Linked DNA regions of Lytechinus pictus. The protein of the gene in region 2 interacts with the protein of the main gene of each other region in a pairwise test. Links are inferred from orthologs where the notes say so. Each region holds a gene or a part of one and is shown on either strand. Other genes may lie near its edges.

Region 1 (11,299 bases), on a different chromosome or scaffold from region 2:
TCGTAAGTTCCAGGTATTTTCTGATCAGGAAATTTACACCAATCAGAAAATACCAGGTAATATTGGCAATGTGAAAGCAAATTACGTGTATTCTCCCCGAAAGAAAATACTCACTAAATATTATGTACTTGTCAAAATTACGAGAACTTTCGCTGAGATTTTTCCAAGGTCACAAGTATTTTGGCAATGCAAAAGCAATTTACGGGAACTTTAAGCCCAGTGTAGATGGGCGCGGGCGCCTTGGGTGGCTGATGAGCTAGTGATTTTGAATCTCATGCCTCACTTGCTTATCAGACTATACTGCGCATGCTCGTAACTTCAGGAACTTATCCCGAAGGGTATGTTTCAGGGTGGTGTGAATGCAGGAATAATGGATATTTATTAGTCTAAAAAAGTCCTCGTAATTTAACGGGGATTCTTATGATTGAGGCGGTTGTCTTTTGTACAGGCAGGAACAAACTAGTGACGGTAGAGAGGTCACCACAAGGAATATCATATGGAGCGCTAATCATCTCCAAGACTACATTCAGAGGCACTCCCACAATAATGACAGTGGAATGCGTTTGCACGACCTTCATGTTCTAGGAAACCAAGAACTAGGGACACTAACTCTAAACTAACATCAACATCAATAAGGAAAGAGGGTAAGAGACAGAGATAGAGAAAGAGCATGTGGGGAAGGCAACTCAAAGAGACAATCCTACATGAGACAGTCAGTTAGTATTGCATTAAGATCTTACCATCTGCTTGAGACCCATCATCATCTTCTGGGAAACCTAGATCTAAGGGATCTGACGATGTGTCCTCCGCCTGCATCAATTATACAACATAGAATATGATGATAATTCTAGACACCAATAATGTAGATAAACATACACAAATAATTCACAAGCTATCTGGTAACATTTACAAGCACATGGGAATGAGAATATGCATTAAATACCTGATACAATGGATATTATTCAAGTATGTCCTCGTGGTGATAGTTTCATTTCTTGAAAATTCCCTTAGATTTATTCAGTAGCATGTCCTTTTCAAGACTTATCAATTCATTTAATTACCTAAGAAGAATATATTTCAATATGATGGTAGAACATGCTCTATGCAGTGACCATTTATTGTGCCTCAATGACCCTTGAGTCTGAAGATGAACACTGTAGTGATAGGGCTGTAATATGCTCTGGCTCAGAAAAAATAGATAATCAATATGATTAAGGATTATATTTTATGTCACATTCTATGTTTGATGTAATGTGCAATTTTTTTTTCATATGTACCAGGATCAAATGGCATGGAACCTTTGAAATGAATTTTGGTAGCTGAATACAGAGTCTTTGGACTGCATTCAGAAGAATCCATTTAGTAAGTATGTAAATTCTATGATCAGTCAATTGCCAATGTTATGTATGACGGGATCATGGGGAAATGTACTTAATCAGATGAATTGTATGGAGCGATGTATGGAGCCATTAGAGTCACTTTTATTCATAAAATACTAGTCATCGTTTTTTTTGCTGCATTTGTTTCACCTTTCCATTGCCGTTACATTGTCAATAAAGAATAGATATTATCATCTCAAGTAAAGTGGATACTAATCTTATATGTCCAGTATATCATGCAGTAAGATAGCTGGAGTAATTGAGGGTACCATGAGAATGAAGTAAGTGAAAGTGTAAACGTGTGTACAAGTGTAATGCCAAACCCATGCAAACATAGATTTCGTCAGAACTTGGAGGGCAGGATAAATATCTCGCATAAGATCAACGTTTGTACGTGATCGACCGGAAAATTGGGATATTATCCTAGAGACAGAATGCTTACAGAGAAAGGTTTCAAGGTTCAGTACTTCCTCCATTCTAATTTACTTCTTAATCAAAGACTTAAAATTGTAATTTCTTACAAGTTGGCTTTTACAAGATTCATTAAATTAAATTGAAGATAATATTCTGAATTCATGAAAATTAAATCATTAATAGTGATAATCACCAATTGAAAACATTACATTTTATGAGCATAAATCTAAATTTTTTTATTTATTCAAAAAAAAATATAAAGGAAAACAAAATGGTAGGAATAAAATATGTTGTATGTTACAAAACATGTCATTGGGTATGATAGCATAATTAATCAGAGAGATCTCTGTCCAGATTCAATTTACTCCAAAGCCTTGAACACAATCAGAATTCTCTGATGAATTCATAATGATATCAGGCTTGCAACACAGCACACCCAACATCGAAGCTACAATCCAGACCAAGGCAAAACACAGAACCTTGTAAATTATGATAAATGAGGTAAGCAAGAAAACAGAGTAATTTTCTTCTCCATAAATCCACATACACTGTCAGTACTTGAAAATAATTTTCCCTTATTTTTTGTGTCTTTTGCCAGGAAAAAGAAATGGGGGGGGGGGCGGAGCTAATGGCATTTGTATGGGTTAAGTGAATCACTGCTGTCGTGTTCACTTCACTTTCCCCATCAATGTCGCAACAATAGTCTAAAGGATAAACTTCCTCCAATGTCATTTCGCAATCTTTCATGTCCTGAATGGTATTGGTCCATGACATTTCCACATACTTTTTTTTCTTGAAGCATCCATTGGTTGACATTTAAATCCCATATTCCCCTCTCCCTCCAGCTTAATCCAAATCCATATTATGCATTATTCCAATTTCTCATGCAAGGCTGATACTGATCCTTGCAATAATTACATGAATAGAGAATCCAATTATTTCCCAGAATTTCAATTTCATACCATTTGCTTTATCCCTGACATGTTATAATGGAGATAGCAACATGCTCTGCATATAAATTCATCATTTTTTTCTACATGTACATTGAAATTTGAGAGCCTCTGCTGTCGACACATTCTTGATGTAGAAGTTTTAATATACCCTGCATGATTACTACAACCTTATGTATTTGTTAACATGAGAATCTAAATTGAGAAATTCAGGATTGTTGTTGACAAATTTTACGACTGTTTTTTGCCTCACTTTAAACCCTATCCTATTATTAAATAAACATGTAATAACACTACACAAATCAAATGTGAGCATCATCAAATAAAATAATAATTAAAAAAATAATTGTTACACTTGGATTTCTACACAAATTGAAAGCAACCTGTACTTATTTTATTTAGGACATGGATTTGAAATGTTTCCCTTTCATCAGCCATATGAAGACTACCCAATGAGACAATTAATTGCACTTACCATATTTCAGCAAAGAGTACAATTTATATATGATAGTTCTAGGTTTTGTAACTCTCTTTAATGGTAAACAATAAAAACAGCCCTCTCATACATTCTGAAAACTGACAATTTTTACTTAGACTTACAGAGGTCTTCAAAACTACATGTAATTCTGCCCATTCTATTTTTTCACTCTGTTTGGTGCTTAATGCTTAAGTCTTTTTTCGGCCATGACTTGGCTGTTTCGCCACCTTCTTCAAAGATTTCATTTATCCAGCAGTTTTCTTGTGTCCTGTTTTTTGTTTTCGTTTTGTTTTGTGTTTAATTTTGTCTTTGTTCCGTTTTATTTGTTCTTGTTCATTGATATTAGTAATTTTTTGTAGGCAAATACCAGCAATGTTGTCTTTTTTAGTTGGGGGGGTCACATAATACAAGCTATGCTTTGGGGTGAACCCCCCCCCCCCCCATTTCCGCACATACTCACATATTCTTATGGTCTACAACTATATTCTCTCATAGTATTTTTTATAAAATAATTTTCATTTCTATTATTGAATGTAATTATACATGAATTCAGGTGTGTAATTTTTCAAATTGAATTTGAATTTGAAAAAATACAACCATGTAAAGATTATTTCAGGGTTTGAAGAAAATATTTGAATATGACATCACAGTCACAAATACAAACACTTACAGATACAGGTTATTGTGAATAGTACTTTTGTAATACAAGTCTGAGGTTTTTTGTTTTCTCACAATGTTAAGCTCTTGGGCAAATAGAAACCCTGAGAATTGTTCAGACTGATTTGCAATACTATCATTGAATCAGGGAATATTCATATTGACTTAAGTTTTCAGCTTTCACAAAGAACCACAGTTTGGAACAGCAATCAAGCTTTGACTTAATGTAACATTACCACTAAGTTCAAATTATTCAGTGCTCACTCCTGAGACTTAAAAACACATTTGAACTTTTTTAATACCAATCTTGTATCTTTAGAAACAATTTTTTATCAAGATTACAACTAACTTTTACTATGGTACCCTCCTTAGATTATCATCTTCACAAAGAATGTATATAATCTGTGTTAATATGTCATAATATTGTTCTTAGTTTTTAAAATTAGTTATTGTGCTATAACTAATTTTTAAAACTAAGAACAATATTTGTTTTTCTGAAAAACAAAAAATGATCATGTGTTGTTCCTTAAAACTAGTATGGTAAATGTAATGCATTAAAATTTTCATCTTTCTAGCTATTTTGTATTTAGAATGCATCATACTTTTTATTTTCAGGTAAAAAAATATCCAATGCTAAATTTCCACATGTATGTCAAAGGCATGTACATGTAAGTATGAAGAGCATTGAATATTGTAATGAAAACCAAATTCTGTTTATTTCAATTATATCTTGCCCCGAGTACCATCATGCAAACGATTGCAGACAAAACAAAACTTACATCTGGTGTTCGATCCTCGTCAAACTTCTTGATGGAGTTCATGTACTCTAGGTGTTTGTATTTGACCTCCAGGTCAGCCAGGTTCTGTTCGCTGGTCTGTAGTTTCTGTTGCGTGGCAGCAAGCTCATCTCTCAACCACGTATTCTCCTGGACTAACCTCCGAACCTGAGCTCGTAACTTCTGTTTCTCGGCCTCCACCATGTTGAGATGGTGACCTAATGCCATCATAACCTGTATAAAGGAAAGCAGAAAAACAATGTGAAGGAAACAGGCATGACTGAAGGAAACACATGCACAGAGGAAATGACAGTTTGGAATCCCATGTATGCAGAGCTGCCAAGTTTTATTTTGCATTTTCAGTATTCTTATCCCCCAAAATCAGTATTTTGACAAAAAATCAGTATTTTTACCGTGTGAGATAAATATGCAGACCTGCCAACCTCTGGGAATGAAAAACTGTATTCTGTGATTAAAAAAACTGTATTTTTCCCAAAAAATGTGTATTTCATAATAAAATGCTTGGCGCACTCGCTCATCGCGGCGCTCAAGCTGCATGCATGCTAAAATGCGCACTGCTCTTGCAGATGAAAAAAAAAACATTAAAACATGTGTATATCTTCACCCTGGTTTTAACAAAATGATTGAAAAAAAAACAAAGTTACCTGAAATTACATTGATCTAATAACCATATTTGTGTACGTTTTATGAAATAGAGACATATGGAGATTATTTTTCTCAATAAATTACGATTTAGTAAAAAAAAAAAAAAAACAACAACGTAATAAATACGGCTAAAACGTACTGGTTGGCAGGTCTGTGTATGGTATCAATGTGCATATGAGATATTCAATGGGAGAGAATAAATTGAAGATACATTAAAAATATCATTCTTTCGTGTATATCTCTTTGTATATCTCTATTTCTTCTATCCTTCTTCAATATCTTTAAAAACTTATCCGAATCGCAAATTTTATGCAGTTGGTCTGCACGTACATGCAAAGGTCGGCCGACAAATGTACATGAATATTTTACTGATGTACAATATGCTCCTTTCCATGCTCCATCTTTTTCAGTCCTTCTGGCTTTTCCTCTCCCACATGTCTCTCCCACCCTCTCCACTCCCCCCCCCCCCCATCCCCCAACTATCTCAACCCACTCCCTCTCTGCATATCTCCATTACTCCCTTCCTTCTTCAATCTTAAACACTTGTCTGAATCGCACATATTACGCAGTTTCTCTCCATTCTCCATCCCACTTCTCTTCCGTTTCTTCATAAATGCAAACAGGGAATAATAGAAAGGCAAACTCCAGGAGCATGCTGTTTATCCTCTCCAATAGCAAGGGTTACTGCAGAGTTTGTCTTGTACATGATTGCAGCGCCTCAAGATACAGAAAACCCTTCGGGCAAGAGACCATTGGAAGTATGATAGAGAAGCACTAAGACCATCATGATAATGATGTGAATAATTAACCTCATTCACGGAAAAGAAAAACTAGATCCCAAGGAGAGAGAGATTGTAGAGGTTTTTCCTATAGTAATGCCAAGGAGGTAAAGGGTACATCTTTGGGGCAACCTGGCACACCCTGGAGTGTAATTGGTAATCATTCGATCAGCCTGATTACCTCTTCAATTTTAACAGACTTTAATTTTGATTCTTGAATTAATATATTCTTTTAACCATATACTTATATATACAATTTGATTAGATTAATATTTGCTAACTCTCATCCAAAGTTTAGGTACATGGACAACATTTCAACAGGCATACAGGTACATGTAGACCACAGATCCTGTTAACGTCACATACATGTAAATCAAACTTATTTTACATTAAATTATATCAGTTAAATGTCTATTAATGAATATAATTAAAGACATGTGGATGCAGTCAAATCAAGTATTTCAGCATATATCAAAAAATGCATTCAATCCATGAATTATGCATATATCGTGTCATGGTTGCATTCAATCCATGAATTATGCATCAAATCATGTCTGGGAGATCATCAGATCATCTTCTCTGATACAATGCAGTGCATACATGTATATAAATGGGACTTCAACAAAACCAGACAATATGAATTCCTTCTAAAGCAATTACTATATATACAAAGCCCTTTCTTCGATTTCCCTAAGGGCATGAGGCTATTTTAAAGCTCATTAATGATGAGCTTATACTCGTATGACATTCACAGGTATCATTCCCATGCTGCATACTAACCATCTTCAGATATTTGCTTATATTAGATATTCACACCAAGCCAGCCAGCATCCAGCTTAGAAACAGTCTCATGGCAAAAGAGATGTGGTGACATTTAGACACTGTTCTCACTACCTTCCTAAAACTATTTTACTGGAAACTAGTTTAACGTGAAGTGAGAACGGTCGAAGCAATCTTGCAAGCGATCTTCCAAACCGGTTCAGAAAACCACCTCGCGATGTAGTTTTCAAGATCGCTTTGCCTCATTAAACTGGTTTTAGCGTAAGTGAGGACACAACCGTTCTTCGGGAAGCGATCTTCGCACATTTTGAGCGTGCTACTCCACATGACAGGTGTAGAATGCCTATGCTGCAATTTCGAATTTTGCACGAAACGTGTCACCCCACTGAGCTTTTCCATAGCAACAAGATTGCTTTTACGTGAAGTGATTTTGAAAATCACTTTCGTGCGATCAAGTGGGAATGCTAGCAAAGCGATCTTCCAAACTGGTTTCTTGAAAAAGTTTTACAAAGTGTAATGAGAACGGTGTCTTATTCCCAATTACAGTTTACTCAATACAAGAGTGAATATTGCTAAAGGATTTAAGAGAACAGACTGAGTGACGGAGGAGATAGCAGAAAATTAGGAAAGATGAAAAGGAAAAATAATAAATGGTGGTGTACTTGTTGTGACATTGATGAAAGGGGCAGTCCTGAGTTATTTAAAGAAAATTTCAGGTTGTTGGAGCTTCAAAATACTTCAACTTGTAAATTTGGGATGAATTTCATAGGTTAAAGATGCATGTCCACTGCAAAGGAGACTGAGCGATCTTGATAGCTGAAGTCTTCCAGTAATGTCTCTTGTCTCAGAGCACACATGACTCTCTGCAAATATTGCTTTTAAATTCATTTTAATTTTCGATAATTAACAAATTTACAGCAAATATAAAATTTTCAAAGATACATTATTTCATTTACAGTTTTGTATACAATTTATTCTCATGAACTGTAACTAAATGTCATATTTAAAGGTAAAAAGAAGTAGCACAGTTCTCAAAATAGTGGCCAATTCAAGAATCAATCAAATAGAGAGAGGGGAGATATCCATTCCCCAAAGCACAGTTCAATGCAACAGTCACATCAATGATTAAACCAACTTCATACTGACAGATACTACATTATTCAAACTTAAAGGTCAAGTCCATCCCAGAAAAATATTGATTTGAATCAATTGAGAAAAATCAAACAAGAATAACAATGAAAATTTCAGCAGAATCGGATGTAAAATAAGAGAGTTATGACATCTTAAAGTTTCGCTTATTTTTCACAACTCAGTGACATGCAAATGAGACAGTCGATGATGTCCCTCCCTCACTATTTCTTGTTTTGATTGTTTGAATTATACAATATTTCATTCTTTACAAAATTGACAAAACTTGACTGAACCATATAGTATTAAACAATGCTAGTTCCACATGTTCATTGGGGATCATTGTTTCACTTGCCAACGAGCAGAAAATTAGAATATTTTGTATTTCATTTAATAAAATACAAAAGAAATAGTGAGTGGATGACGTCATCAGTCTCCTCATTTGCATACCGACTACATGTAGGATGTGCATATAACTGTTTTGTGAAATTAAGCTACACTTTAAAAAGTCATATCTTTATTTTACATTTGATCATATGTTCAGTGTTATGCTTGTTGGATTTCCCCCTCTTTATTCAAATCAACTTTTTTTGGGGGTGGACTTGTCCTTTAACATACAAGGGCCATTCATTCTGGAGCAGGTTCCACTAGTCTGACTGAGGCATGAATGTACACATCCATGTGAGCTGCGCCATATTGAAAGCTTTTAGTGTAATGAATGTGTCTGGTTTTTCAGTGAGCTATGGTTGACAGTTTCGGGGGTTTTTAGTCAGGGTAACTTATCCTGAAACCAACCGCCTGTCTCCTTGCCAACAGGTTCTCTATGAATGAGTGATGAACATGCTGCACAAGGAGGTTCTAAATGAAGCCTGTTCAGACATCAATACATTTACATTGGAACTTGGCAACGAAACGTCATACAAGACTTTAGCATAGTTTAGGAACCGTTCAGACACATATCAACCGCTTAGATCAATGTCAGATGAGAAGTTTTCCAATGCACATGTTGTAACTGTTGGCTGTTGGACCTTATCAAGATGAATTAATGTTCTATAATCATGTGTTCAAACAACCATGCAAAACTATTCTCTGACAAGTTTATCGTAAGTCTGTGTTCACAGTCAAACCATCCATGTGCAAACACAGGAATCCATTATGAAGCTACCATGTATGTACCATTTGCTTTTAAATAGCGCTTAACATCAGAACGTTTTTAAGTGCTTTATATGGATATGCCTACATTACCATGGTCATTGGATATCACTCTAGAGATGTTTTGTGCACCTGAACATGGGGTTAGAATGAACTTGGTTTGGTATCTCATTACCTGGAAAGCTAACAAGGACTGAGGGGTATTGCTCAAGGTTGTCACATTAAATGAATGAGCTGTCTATAGATCTACCAACCAATCAACCTTCCCACACAGTTGATAGAAAGAACCTGAATTCTGTTTATATTCTGTGACAGAGAATTCAAAATTATATCAAATAATAGAAAATACAATAATAAATATCAACTTGAAACATTTTTAAGGACTTCAAGTCAAGCTTTTATTTCTGAATCCCTGTAAATCTTATATGCTGACTCAATAATTCATTTCAATTTCATTATAAAATATTAAGTCCAAACTTTCAACCATCTTGAACCCCCCCCCCAAAAAAAAAAATAATAATAATAATAATAATAGTAATTAATGAATAAATGAGTAAACTGAGACTTCCAGGTAAAACTCATCCTGGAATAAATATTCTGTTTTTAATTCAGAAAGCAAAATATTGAGGTACAGGACTATGATTTTTTTCAACAAATTTTGATTAAAAACAAGAGAGTTATATATTTTAAAACTTTCATCAATAGGCTTTAGGCCTACATGCTTGAAGCCAAAGAAGAGTAGAGCAAAATCAATCATTGTAAAGTTAATTGAGCGAAACAACAATAATGTTCGGATGTAGGGAGCAAGACATTTTTCTCATTTACTTGCAAATGTGAAAGAGGGCTTGTGGGTATATATAATCCATGTTTCTCAGTCCCCAGGGGCAGGGGCCTCGGTATAAAAGAGGTTCTCAAAGAATAACACACAAAATGTGCATAGACATATTCATAGCTTATGAATGAAAACACATATCTCTCTGAAAATTCACAAATAAAGTTATTTGTAAAACAACGACACACCATAAGCAATTTATTGACCTTACATGTATACATTATGAGCTTGAAATTAAAAATTATACAACAGCTTTGGATAAATTAATTAGATATACATGAATAAACAACTATTTTTTATGATTCTGTATTTGATTCCAACACTGCACTTTATATTTCAAACATGAAATGATAGCTTAGAACAGAACTTTATCAAAGTGAGCATTGCACACTGCCCATTCCATTACACTTTCACACACAGCAGTGGGAAGAGAAATTTTCACTTGCAAATTTCTACGAGTTAGCCAGAGGCATATAGGCCTGATTATGTGGGCACATCTAGAGGGCTGCATGGTAATTTGTGTGGAGCACTACTTGTCTCTTTCAATAGTACTGCCATCTTCATTGAAGAAAGAAGAGCCCTTTCTCTCGACATGTTCACGCAATTTCTCTGGGTGCTTTTTTTTCTCCTAATATTCGATTCTAGCTCACTTTTTGTGAGAGGGAATTACGGAGGGTTGAGGTTGTACTTTCGAGCAGATTTTAAAGGTTACTTGTCTTCAGGGGTAGATGTTACAATAGAGATTGACTCTGAAATAAGTCAAATGTAAGTTGACACCTGATACAAGGATAGGCATATACATGTATATATATATAAACTCATCATCATCACGAAAGATATGTAAATTGCACAATGAATCAAATATGACAACTTCTTAGGGCTTTTCTTTTAGGAAAATATAAACCTGCATGGAAATTACTTGTTATCATAAATGTGCAAGATTTGTATCTATACATAAATACTGTAATCTGTATATTGGTATATTATGTCCAGAATTCCCTTTTCAACAAATAAGCCTACTCTTCCCTTCAATTTGCATCTCTTATCAGTTGACTTAAGTGTTGTCCACATTTAATGAAAATTTGGAAAGATAACTTGTGAGGTTAAACAATGAATCATATTTATTCTTACATTAATTCAACTACTGATGATGTAGACTCATTATACAGTTGGTTTGAGCATGGACCTATTACGAATGGACATTCAACGAATCCCCTCCTTTGACACAGAGACCGTCGCCGCTAATCCTTTTATAAACAGAGCGCTGGCAGCTGACACCCATCAAGCCGGTCGTAAAACATGCTCTCA
Region 2 (11,968 bases):
AGTTATTGAATTTTAAAGATTTGCATTATTCTGGTGAAACAGTTCTAGGCATGTCTTCATGAATATTCATTAGGTGGGCTGATGATGTCATATCTCCACTTGTTCTTTTGTACATTTTATTATATGAAATTAGGTTTTTATCAAAAATTTTCTACCAGGAGCTAAAGCAATTTGATTGACAACTGATTAAGTGCTTTAGTTATTTATTGCCGCAACTCATCACGGAGAGACATCAAATACACATGTATGTAAAAATAAAACAATTATGATTTCATGTAAAAACATAAGAAAAAGGAAAGTGGGTATGTGACATCATCAGCCCAACTAATGAATATTCATGACAATGTGCATATATTCCTCTTTTTAAAAATATTGCTTACCTTTAAAATTCAATAACTTCATTATTTGTTATCTGATTTTGATCAAATTTTCAGTATTTTGCTTTGTGAATTTGACTCTATTTATTCAGATATAAATATTTTCAGCCCGGACAATCCCTTTAAGTATTAAACCCACATGAGCAAGGTCTCATTGCTCTGTACATGCAGGCACAGATCAGAGGGGGGCAGGGGTGGCAAAGGGGAGCTCGCTTCCTTTCTGAGGGCCCCCCCTTTTTTTTTTGCTTGATAACTATATCTTTAGCAAGGAAATGCACCCTGTGAGTGGTGATAACCTTTTAACTGTCAGTAATGGTGAATTATAAATTGTTTTTTATCAAGAGAGGCATTGTGTTTTACATGATAATGAGTCATAATGAGAAAGTTTTGAGTTGAGTAACTTTCATGAATAAAATAACAAGTACTAACTGTTAAATCTAACAAACGATGTTCAAACAAAATACTCAAAAGATTTGAATACTACACAACGCCTTTTCTTGGTGAATCTATATCTCACACACAGTGCAATTAACAATTAATCGAATGACGAGAGCTGTACAGGGGAGGGTGGAATCCCTCTTGCTTAGCCAGGCGGAAATCATCGGATATCGATGGATAGCGCCACCTCCACACTAAACTCAACCAACCAACAACAAGGCCCTCTACATAAATACATGTACATTATACAGTACATTGTACTGTATCAAAAATAGCTGAGACTCCTTGCTTGTTCAGAAATGACACACAATATTAAAGACAACAGCCAAAAAAAAAATTGAATAAATGATTGCAATTAAAATGACTTTGTTTCCCAGATTTCCAGTTATGATTATAGTTTTGAAACACTAAACTTCAATCTAGAGTTAGATTTAGTCTACTGTGGCCCGTATTCTGAAGTCAGGTTTTACTTAGACTCGGGTTTAAAGTTGTGGTTTAAGTATGGGAAGCCAAAAGTATCAAAAATTGTTATTAAGTTGTACATTTCTTATGTTAACTGTGCTCTTTCCTGATTCATCGATGGTGAAGACAATAATCTATATATACTTCCTAGACAATTATGAATGATTTGAGAGCCAAATGAGCTGAAATATGATATCTCTACTGTTAGTGATTTATGTAACAATTGGCTGTCCATACTTAAACCACAACTTTAAACCTGAGTTTAAGTTAAACCCGACTTCAGAATACAGGCCTGTAAGTTTAAGGTAATGAAATATGCAACACCATAAAATGTTGGTGTTATCATCTGTGAACACTGGTACTGGTAGCAGGGTAGAATATAATTTTATCTTGTTTTAGGGGCATGTTTTTCTACATTTGGGTCATTGTGGAAGTTTGGGGGCTATGTCTTTCATTTTAAGGGGTAACAAGCAATTATGCAGTAAAAGCAAATAAAAAATTCTGCCATAGTTAGAATATTAATTTTCTATCAATAATATTTAATGTTTGTGACAGATCTTGGGGCGACTCCAGATATAACGGTCACCAGAAAGCATAAATTTTGGGGCAATTTTAGGGGGGAATTGGGCTGTTATGAGGGCGAAATCACCCATCGCCCGCATGTACATGTATTTCCTACGCTGACTGGTAGTGTAGTTTGAACACCATTGTTTTAGTGCTCAGTGTAGTGAGACAGTTGAACTGAAAGTTCATGTACTTGTGGGATGCAAGCACTCTGTCTGATCAGCTACATGTTGATGAGAATGTGTCATCAATCCCCTAGTGTTTTGGTGACATTCAGTGAAAGCAGGAATGTCAACATGTATAAAGCTGCTATCAAATCTAAGAACCAAAGGCAAGGCAGTCTGTGCACATTAAGGCGATAGAGAGATGTTGAAGTATACCCAGATATTTTTTTACCCTAATTCGCAAATAAACTTTAAAATTAGAAATCTAATGAAACAGAAAATTTTACCAGGATAATTTGGCAAATAAATTGTTAAAATGTTTTTATTTACACAATGATGGCTAAAAAGTTGTAACATGAATTACAATTTATTTATAATTTACTATGGTTTTTACATTCAATTGAACTGCATCAGTTACAAAAGTAACTCAGGAATTTCCATAAAAGTGATGTAATTAAAATGAAAATTTCTAAGCTCAACTCGTGATAAAACAATATTTTCTTTCCGTTTAAAATGCTGAATAATTTCTTCAAATATTTGAACAATGAATGAAGACAAACCAAGAACTTCAAGATAATGGATGCCGGCCGGCCATGCTCAGACATTGCATCATCTATGCATTATAGTACCACTATTCCTGTCGCGTGTGGGTTTTTATTGACACAAGAATTTTACCTGTGGGTACTGAAACTGAGCGAAGCAATTTGGAATCGTGTCTGTTTGCCTCTCCTGTGATAAACTCTATGAAGGCAGGAGAGTCAACTCTATTCTGACAGCGACTACGTGATGAGTGCCATGGAAGCTGGTTCATACTGGCATGATAAATTGCTTAATGCAAGAGTTTGACTCTCCTTATGTTTGCCTGTATTCGTTCAGAATCAATTAGAATGTACGTGTACATTTATGATTAACATAATTTATGAGAAACTGAGAAAGTAGTCACGAATGTTAAGGTGTAGACATGGATGTCCCCAAATAAAGTTGAATGTTTTTTTTTTATAACACTGAAAAGTGATAGAAATGTAGTGATGATGATAGTGATGACGGATGATGATGATTATGATGATGATGTTGATGATGATGATAATATTAAATGATGATCATGATTGTATGAATGATGATGATAGTGTTTTTTTGTTGTTTTTTTCCCTATGATAATTATGAATCATGATGATAATGATTGAACGGGATAATCTCATTGTATAAGGTAATCGCTCCTTAGACAAATGGTTGGGCCTACATATGTATTGTAGAGTAATTAATTAATATTATTATGTTAGGCATATTAGATGCCTGCAATAATTAATTGAGACAAGTGTATTCAGAGCAATATCCAACTCCAAGGCCTACAATAAACGTGCACTGTGTGACCCTTCTCCGGACAACCATTATCCAATGTTTGTTGACTGGATACATCTAACCTCTGCATTTGACATCATTCAATGCTTTAATTGATTGGAATGCTTGATCCACCATTCACACAATGAATACAAACACGAACATGACCTATCAACGAACTCTTTGAATCACCCAGGCTTTGGAAAAAGGAAGCCCCAAGCTCATTTCTTTCTTTCCCTCCAGACAATGTAGTGGGTCAAATTACCCCCCTCCCAGGAGAAATGGAATATGCTATGACTGTACAACATGCATTATGAACTTGAAGTGGCATTAGCATGAACGGGGGTGCAGAAAGGGTGGTTGTTTTACTCATAATTTCTTGTTTATCAGTGGAATGTTTCAAGAAGCTTATCATTTTGGCCTGTTGCATAAACATACCATTTAGTAACTTTGCCATGCAATGGTAACTTGCATGGAATCCTTGATTTTGATTTAAGACTGTTGATCATTGTTGCGAATGATAGTTGCCATTGGATAGCAAAGTTACCATAATTGTACTACAGTATTACGCAAGGGGCCCCCGAGTGATTTTCATTGACTTTCTCATCAAATGGAATTTTTATGCATGTTAGCCCCCCCTTCAGAATTGTTTTACTATAACTAGGCCTATACGTAAACTGCACAGAAGGTGAATGAATCTTTACATTTAAATACGAATTTTGATATTGATCTATGATTTGATAAGTATACAGTACATACATTATAAAGAGTCTTAAGAGACATGATTCATTGGCACACACAATGCATCAGGAGACACATCCACCATTTGGGGATGCTACATGTAAATCCATTTTGCTCCTTGGAATGGCAATTCATTCTATTTTACGATACACCTTGCACTTCTAACGGATACTATTCCTGCACTGGGGGAGAAAATGTGACCGAAATATCCCATAATTCCCTCCCCCAGGTGCCGACTTAGAGGGCCATGATATGAACTTGCTTTGACAGACGTAATTGTAACAGATGCATGACTCATATAGGATTGACAAGGAAGACTACCATACTACTGTATCAATACTAAAAAATATTGCCAGCGCTGTTGGTAGCTCAAAACAGAACATCTGTTCTTAGATGTACATATATAGATAAACTGTGATTTGGCATGCAATGTTACTGTAAAAAAGGTTTACCCAATATTTGGTAAAATGGGAACATGTATGTTTGCTGGGTAAAATGATACCAAATACTTTGTAATTTTTACGCAATGTTGCGTAAAATTTACCCTTAAAAATGCATTTTTCCCAATATGGGGGGAAAAAATTACCCAGCAAAAAAGCATGTTCTCTCTCTTTCCAATACTGTGTAAATTTTACTCAATCTTTTTTAGAGTGTAACATTATTTCAAACACGACATATAAGGGCCTATGTATGCATGGGGGGATTTATTTCTCTCCACACACTTTCATCCTATGCTTGAGAAATTGTTTCAAGAGATTGGAAATTGATGAAAAAATTATAGATTAAAATAAAATTAATCAACCTCCTTCAATTTGCATAAGAAGTAAAATTATACCACACGACACAAACATTCAGAAGAAACCTCATTATCAATTTTTCAGCCGAGAATATCCACAGATAAAATGTACTGCCACATAGAGTAATTCCGCTTTTTTTTGTATTGTTATTAAAGTCACAGAGATTTTTAGAAACTCTGTCAACATGTATCTTCCATATCTTCCATAATGAGACATGAAAACAGGTTGAAATAGCACAAAACAATCCAAGTTGCCTACATGTACATGTAGGTACAAATATAATTAATGTTCATGGTGCACATTGAAATAACTGTGTGTTAAAATCATTTCTAAAGAAAAGTAGCAAATACAAGATTCAATAGATGAAACAGTTTACAAGGTAAATAACAAAGTATAAAGATTGTAAAGTGGATGTACATGTATTTTGCACTCGGTCTACATGTACAAGGAAAGATACATGCTAATGATGCATGCAAATCAGTTCAATACACCTGAACTTGAGTTGAGGCTGTGTTTGCCTCGAATCTGATATGCACCTCATTAGAATGTAATCATTGTATTTATAGGATATCAATGATTGAAGATGTAATGTACATTTACACATGTATGTTGTACTTGTAGACATGAAATAAATTTTGAATTGTCGAAGTATTGATTGCATCATCTATCCGACTATTGAATTGAATGTGATATTGATTTTAAAAGTTGAAATTGTTTGTTTAACACAGAAATTGATCAGGGGAGGCTTTCCAGGAGGCAATTTGTTTTTAACACAGTTGAACAAAATGGGCTTAAAAATCTAAGAGTTAATAACAGCATAATTTTGAAAGGTCTTCTCAAAGTTACTGCACGGACATGTATATTAATTAGAAAGAAAGACTTGTTTTTTCTGAATGCCCCCCCCCCCCTCCAAAAAAGAGAAGCTCCTCTGTCAAAAGGGCAGAGCAAGACATGGTCAATAGGCTACCCCACAAAATCTCCCATATGCAGCAGCTGTGGTGGTGAAGATGATGATGATGATGGTGGTGATGATGATGATGATGATGATGATGATGATGATGAGGATGATGCAATGATAATGATGATAATAGTTATAATAGTAATAATATAATTAAAATATTTTTTTGTCTTACAGATGTTCTGGAAGGGTACAATGGAACCATCTTTGCCTATGGGCAGACATCCAGTGGAAAGACTTTCACCATGGAGGTAAATCATTTATATCTCATTATTTATTCAAAACACAAAATGACTGAATCCGACTGAGATATTGGTGTAATATATTTGCACTTTAATAATGCAGTATATAAATATGGATCATCACGATCGAAAAATCTTTGTAAATATTTTATGAGGATGATATTAGCTTTATGATTAGATTATTTCAAGAATTAGGGGAGGTAAGCTGGAGATAGAGGAAAATGAGAAGGAGGAGGTGTTGATGTAAATAAGAAGGAGAAAAACAAAATTAAATGATTGAAAAGGATTGTTGATGTAATAAAGACAGCAATGATGATGATGACAATATAAATAATGATAGTTATGATTATGATGATGATGGTGATGTCAATAATGATGGTGGTGATGATGGTGGTGGTGGTGGTGGTGATGATGAAGATGATGATGATGATGATGATGATGATTGATGATTGATGATGATGATGATGATGATTATGAAGATGATGGAGTTGGTGGTGATGATGATGGTGATGAGATGACGATGATGATGATGGAGTTGATGTTGATGATGATGACAATGATGATGATAGAGTTGGTGGTGATGAAGGTGATGATGATGATGATGAAGATTATGATGATGATGCTGCTGCTGCTGATGATTATGAAGATGATGGAGTTGGTAGTGATGATGGTGATGAGGATGATGATGATGATGATGATGAAGATGATGGAGTTGGTGGTGATGATGGTGATGATGATGATGATGATGGAGTTGAGTGTGATGATGGTGATGATGATGATGATAGAGTTGGTGGTGATGATGGTGGTGATGATGGTGATGATGATGATGATTATGAAGATGATATGTACCAAAATTGTTGCTTGCAAACATCGCCTCTAACAAATCATTCATGTTTTTTGTATTTGCAGGGTGTTATGGGTAATGCTCAGTATATGGGTATCATCCCTCGTATTGTGCAAGATATCTTCAACCATATTTACCAGATGGATGAGAGCCTGGAGTTCCATATAAAGGTATGTAAAAAATGTTCTAGGACAACTTCATTGAGGGCAATGGCTTTGGAGAACAACTCCCTTGGGGATAGGGAGGTATGCTGGGCTCTGGTGCAATGCAGTAATACTAAAGTAGGGCCCTGACTTTTCAAATAATCGCGCTATTTCTGATCCGGTAGCTCGCTGGATTAATCTCGAGCTTGCAATCCTAATTCAACTGAGTATTACTTGCAAAATAGTGTGCTATTTATGAATTATCCGGCTAATTCGCAGGTGCAGACGCACTCGACATTCGACTCGGGATTATTTCACGGTCAGACCACAATGCATCGATGCCTCGCTCAAGAACGGGTTTCTTGGATATCAAGATTAATCGCGAAGAGGGCTTATCGGGCTAAAATCTCGAGATTGAGCAAACTTTGGCTGTTGCAGCACCGCCTATTGTAACTTTGCCTTTATGAGAACTACCATGGAAACCTTGATTTTCATTGGCTGCTGAGCCCTGTTACCATGGCAGCTACGGTAATGGCAAAGTTACATTGATGGTAATTTTTTTTGTGTAGGAATTCCTGACATGAAAACCCCTACTCTAAATTCTAAGGATTTAAATCTCGTTCGGCTGTGAAAAGTGACCAGTCAAATATATATTTTTTTAAATCTGAAGTATTAACTTTTAAATCTCAAAAGATTTAAAGAGAAATTCCAGTAGTTGCAGTAAACACTGATTTCATGAGAAAGTCTGTAAAACCAGGCTTAATTGTCAGTATATCATCGAGGATCTAGATCTGGTACAGTTACATAAACTGAACTTTGTGAAATCTTGAAATCTACGCTGAAAAATGTTCAGACTGAACTTCCCCAACACAGATAAGCGCACGTGGGACTGTGTATAATTATTGCTTTGAGCGTCGGGCCCGACGCTCTACCCGAATCCTGTGCTTATTTGCTGATTTCTCAGCAATTACACAATTTCTTCCAGAATCCTTTGGCACATGCGTTTTATTTATGCAAACAGACACTTTGGTGGTCATTTCATTGGATTCTGTACGAACTCATTTTGGTATCGTTACCAAAACTAGCATTTACCTTTAAATCTAAATCTGTTAGCTTTATATTTAAATGCACAAGGATCAGATCTTAATCTAGTGTTTAGCTGGTCACTATTTACAGCCAATCCAGATTTATTTTAAATCCTTGGAATTTTTAGTGCAATTGGACATGTGCATGTTGTCACCTTAGCCCGATGAATACATTTAATAATGAGGTATAGGAGACACTAGGTGGTTTCAGACCGCCTCGAAGTTCGTCAGTTCCAGGTATTCTCTGATGGGGAAATTTACCCCGATCAGAAAATACCAGGTATTTTGGTAATGTGAAAGCAAACTACGCGTAATTTCCCCGAAAGAAAATACCCGCTAAATAGTAGGTACTTGGCGAAATTACGAGAACTTTCGCGGGGATTTTTCCAAGGTCGCAGGTATTTTGGCAATGTGAAAGCAATTTACGGGAACTTTTAGCCCAGCGTGTCGTTGGGCGCGGGCGCCGTGGGTGGCTGCTGGGCTAGTGGTTTTGAATCTCGCGCCTTGCCTGCTTATTAGACCATACTGCGCATGCTCCTAACTTCAGGAATTTATCCCGAAGGGTATGTTTCAGGAATAATTAATAGGTATTTTTTAGCCTAATAATGTTCTCGTAATTTAACGGGGATTCTTGTGATCAAGGCGGGATATTGAACTAGACCTTTTCAGTGAAGATTATTTGATATAATTCAGAGTGCTACATAACTTTTTAGAAGCACTTGCCCAGTTAGGCAAGTAAATTTTTTAATACTTGCCCAAAAATCTATTTCACTTGCCAGAAAAAATCATTGAAAAAAAAGTGTTACCCCTCCAAAAGAAAGTTTTGCGGTTTTATAAACCATTGACCTTTTTCTCTCTTTTGGCATGAACTGATCTACCTTATTATTGCATTTCTTTGTCCAAAGTGATTTTATCTTGCCTGCCATGACAGAAATTAGGGTCAATATATCATATCGACCCTAATTTTGGCCATTTTCTGTGAGAATTTTGCTTGCCCAATTCGGGCAAGTAGTTTTGGTCTTTACTACAAAACTTTTGCCTCTTAACTCTAACTTTTACTTGCCCCGGGCAATCAGGCAAGTGCTTATGTAGCACCCTGTAATTATAATTGGTATGAAGTTTGAATTTGATCGATATCATTGTGATGTCTGCAGGGCAGGGAATAATTTTTATTTTTTAGGGGCTATTTTTCTTTTCTACATTGAGGCCAGTGCAAAATATATATTTTTTTTTTTGGGGGGGGCTCTTTCATTTGAAAGGCTACTTTTTAGGGGTAAAAAGATAATTGTGCAGTAAAAGCAAATATTACTCTTCTGCCACAGTTAGATAATTGAATTTTGTGAATCTTGAATATTGTTTGGAACAGATCTTGGGGTAACTCTAAAAAGAATGGTTGCCCCAGAGCATGCATTTTGGGGGAATTTTAGGGGCAATTTGGGCTATCAGGTTGAAATCGCCCGTCGTCCATATGTATTTCCTTTGCTGGATGACTGACAAATATATAACCTGTAGATTGTAGGAAGAGTTGTTAATGGTCAATAATTCAATATCTGGTTCATCAAACCCTAAGCTTCCTGAAAATCCACCCCCTAATACTTCTTAATGAATCAGATCCTGCCCCCAAATTATTGTCGAGACAGGTGTCGCGGTTACATTCCATTCCCCTTGTTTCTCTGTTGATTTCGTGAAACTACTGCATATCATCTGAACTTCAACTTCATGTCGGATGTCTATTACCCGGGGAGGGGGGGGGGGCAGTCAAATGTATTGCTGTACACACGCGTGGCCAAATTATTTCCAAACACCCCCTGAATGAGTTTTTCTCTGTGTGCAAAATAACCCCCTAAACAAGTTTTTCGCGGGCTTTATTTACACATTTTGGCCCCTAAACACGTTTTTCTAGTCTTAAAAAAAAAAGCTTCAGAAAAAAAACATACCCTAAATACGTTTGACCCTGCGGTTGACCATTGACTAGCCTTTCAAAACGATCCCCTTTTTTTGAAAATCAATGTTTTTGATACCCTTAACGAGTGCACGCGCGACCCGTGTCCAAAACTGAAAAAAACACCCCTTTAAACGCGTTTTTGGGGTCACGCGTGTGTACAGCAATATATTTGACTGCCCCCCCCCCCTCCCCCCCGGGTTTATTACCCATACTGCCCCTTCACTCTGGAATATCATCCGCATTATGAAAGAACTCTCCTGCTTCAAAGTTAAATCCACCGTAAAAGCTACTTGTTCAAAAAGTATTTTAACGAGTTCTTTCTTTCCTAAAAAATAGTGATGCATTTGATCTGGCAATAGAATGCCAAGTCCTCCCCAAGAAAAATTTAATGAAGATAAATTGAGAGATGTCAATCAAACTTAACACTGAATTGCTGCCAATTACTTCAAAAATTGAACATAATAAGAAATGTCTTATAGATGCAAGGCAAGGATGTCGCTTTTCAGACTAATGTCTGAATTCAGTTATTTTCAGCATATTTGCTGCCTTTATACATGTAGAAAACATCTTTTTCATGTGGGAAAGGGGTCATTGTAGATGATTTTCAGAGTTTTTAATCGATTCTGTGGCATTGTTGTATTTTACATCTGATTTGTATGAAAATTATTACCCTATAATTGTTAGGTACATGTATGTCTCTTTATTTAAATTCACTTTACCAGTATTCAAAGAACATTGGAAGTGGACTTGGCCTCTAATATGTATCCAAAAGTGCCACTTTCCCTTCAAGAACTTTTTCCTGTCCATCCTAAAATAAAATCCTATTGGGAGTTTATTGGCTTTTGTGATGTTCTCTCTTTTTTCCTTGAGACACCACTGCATGTTTGCCCAGGTTGTTTCTTTGAAAAATGTTCATAGTTCATTTATTTCTTCCTTTCACAAAAAACATTCATACATGGTAGTTAAAAAAATAATAAAAACAAGATAAAACAATGGATTGTCAATGTTAAAGATACATTGAAGTTGTTACATAAATCATGTCATTTACATTACAGAGTAGAATTCTGGACACAAAAGTTACACAAAAAATTACATTTCTAAAGAAAGAGGAGACCTTAAAAAAGCTACACCAACAAGGTCCCCAATTAGGATACGATAGGTGTATAGATATTTTAAGTACAATAAGACTACACAACTAAATCTATATGGAAAAGCAAGGTAGCATTTAATAGCGGAAATTGCCCCTGTAGATTCTATTTGGTTATGATAATGTGTTCGTACATGCCCTTCCACTGGCACTCTCCTCTTCCTTCCTTTTACACCCTCTCTTATTTCTTTCTTCCTACATGTACAAGTATAAACCCATTGCTGTGGCCATTTCCCATGCTCTTGCACATGTAATGAGGTAATATGAATAGGACATCCCTTTTCGTTAGAAAAGCACCTGCCGCATATGTCAGAAAGGCTACTATGCCTGTCAGCGAGGTCTGTTCTCACGTTAGGCCCATCTGCACAAGCCTTGGTTTTCAACTTTTTCAACTTTTTTCTGAGATTGATATGCTTTTCACACTGCATTTCCTTAAACCCCATACTATCCTTACCCCCGGACTATCCTTAACCCCATACTATCTCTTTTTTAGTTTCACACTTTCTTTCTTAACCCCATATTATTTGCTTAGCCAGGGTTAATGATTCAACCCCAAACTATCGCACAGCTCATGAATGTTGATGACTTTTGTCACACTGAGCGTGATTACCATGCAATTTCAACTTCTGTGATTGGTTAATGCCTACCCCCATTTCCCTTTAATAGCCCCGTTTGGTTACACACTGCAGTTCTTAGCACTGCGATTGTGGTGCTAGCACCGAA

Evidence for each region.
Region 1: the proteins of kinesin heavy chain (region 2) and kinesin light chain interact in binary tests that used the Drosophila melanogaster proteins (3 or more experiments, as listed by UniProt). The link is inferred for Lytechinus pictus from reciprocal best matches to the Drosophila melanogaster genes Khc and Klc.

Annotation. Positions count from the first base shown.
Region 1 is NC_087251.1:23,868,276-23,879,574, forward strand, and holds the start of kinesin light chain, read right to left. Parts: upstream 4,885-11,299; 5' UTR 4,883-4,884; coding exon 4,658-4,882; intron 811-4,657; coding exon 741-810; intron 1-740. UniProt on the Drosophila melanogaster protein: Kinesin is a microtubule-associated force-producing protein that may play a role in organelle transport. The light chain may function in coupling of cargo to the heavy chain or in the modulation of its ATPase activity.
Region 2 is NC_087257.1:3,762,266-3,774,233, reverse strand, and holds the start of kinesin heavy chain, read left to right. Parts: upstream 1-6,020; 5' UTR 6,021-6,084; coding exon 6,085-6,090; intron 6,091-6,990; coding exon 6,991-7,095; intron 7,096-11,968. UniProt on the Drosophila melanogaster protein: Kinesin is a microtubule-associated force-producing protein that may play a role in organelle transport. Milt and Miro form an essential protein complex that links Khc to mitochondria for light chain-independent, anterograde transport of mitochondria.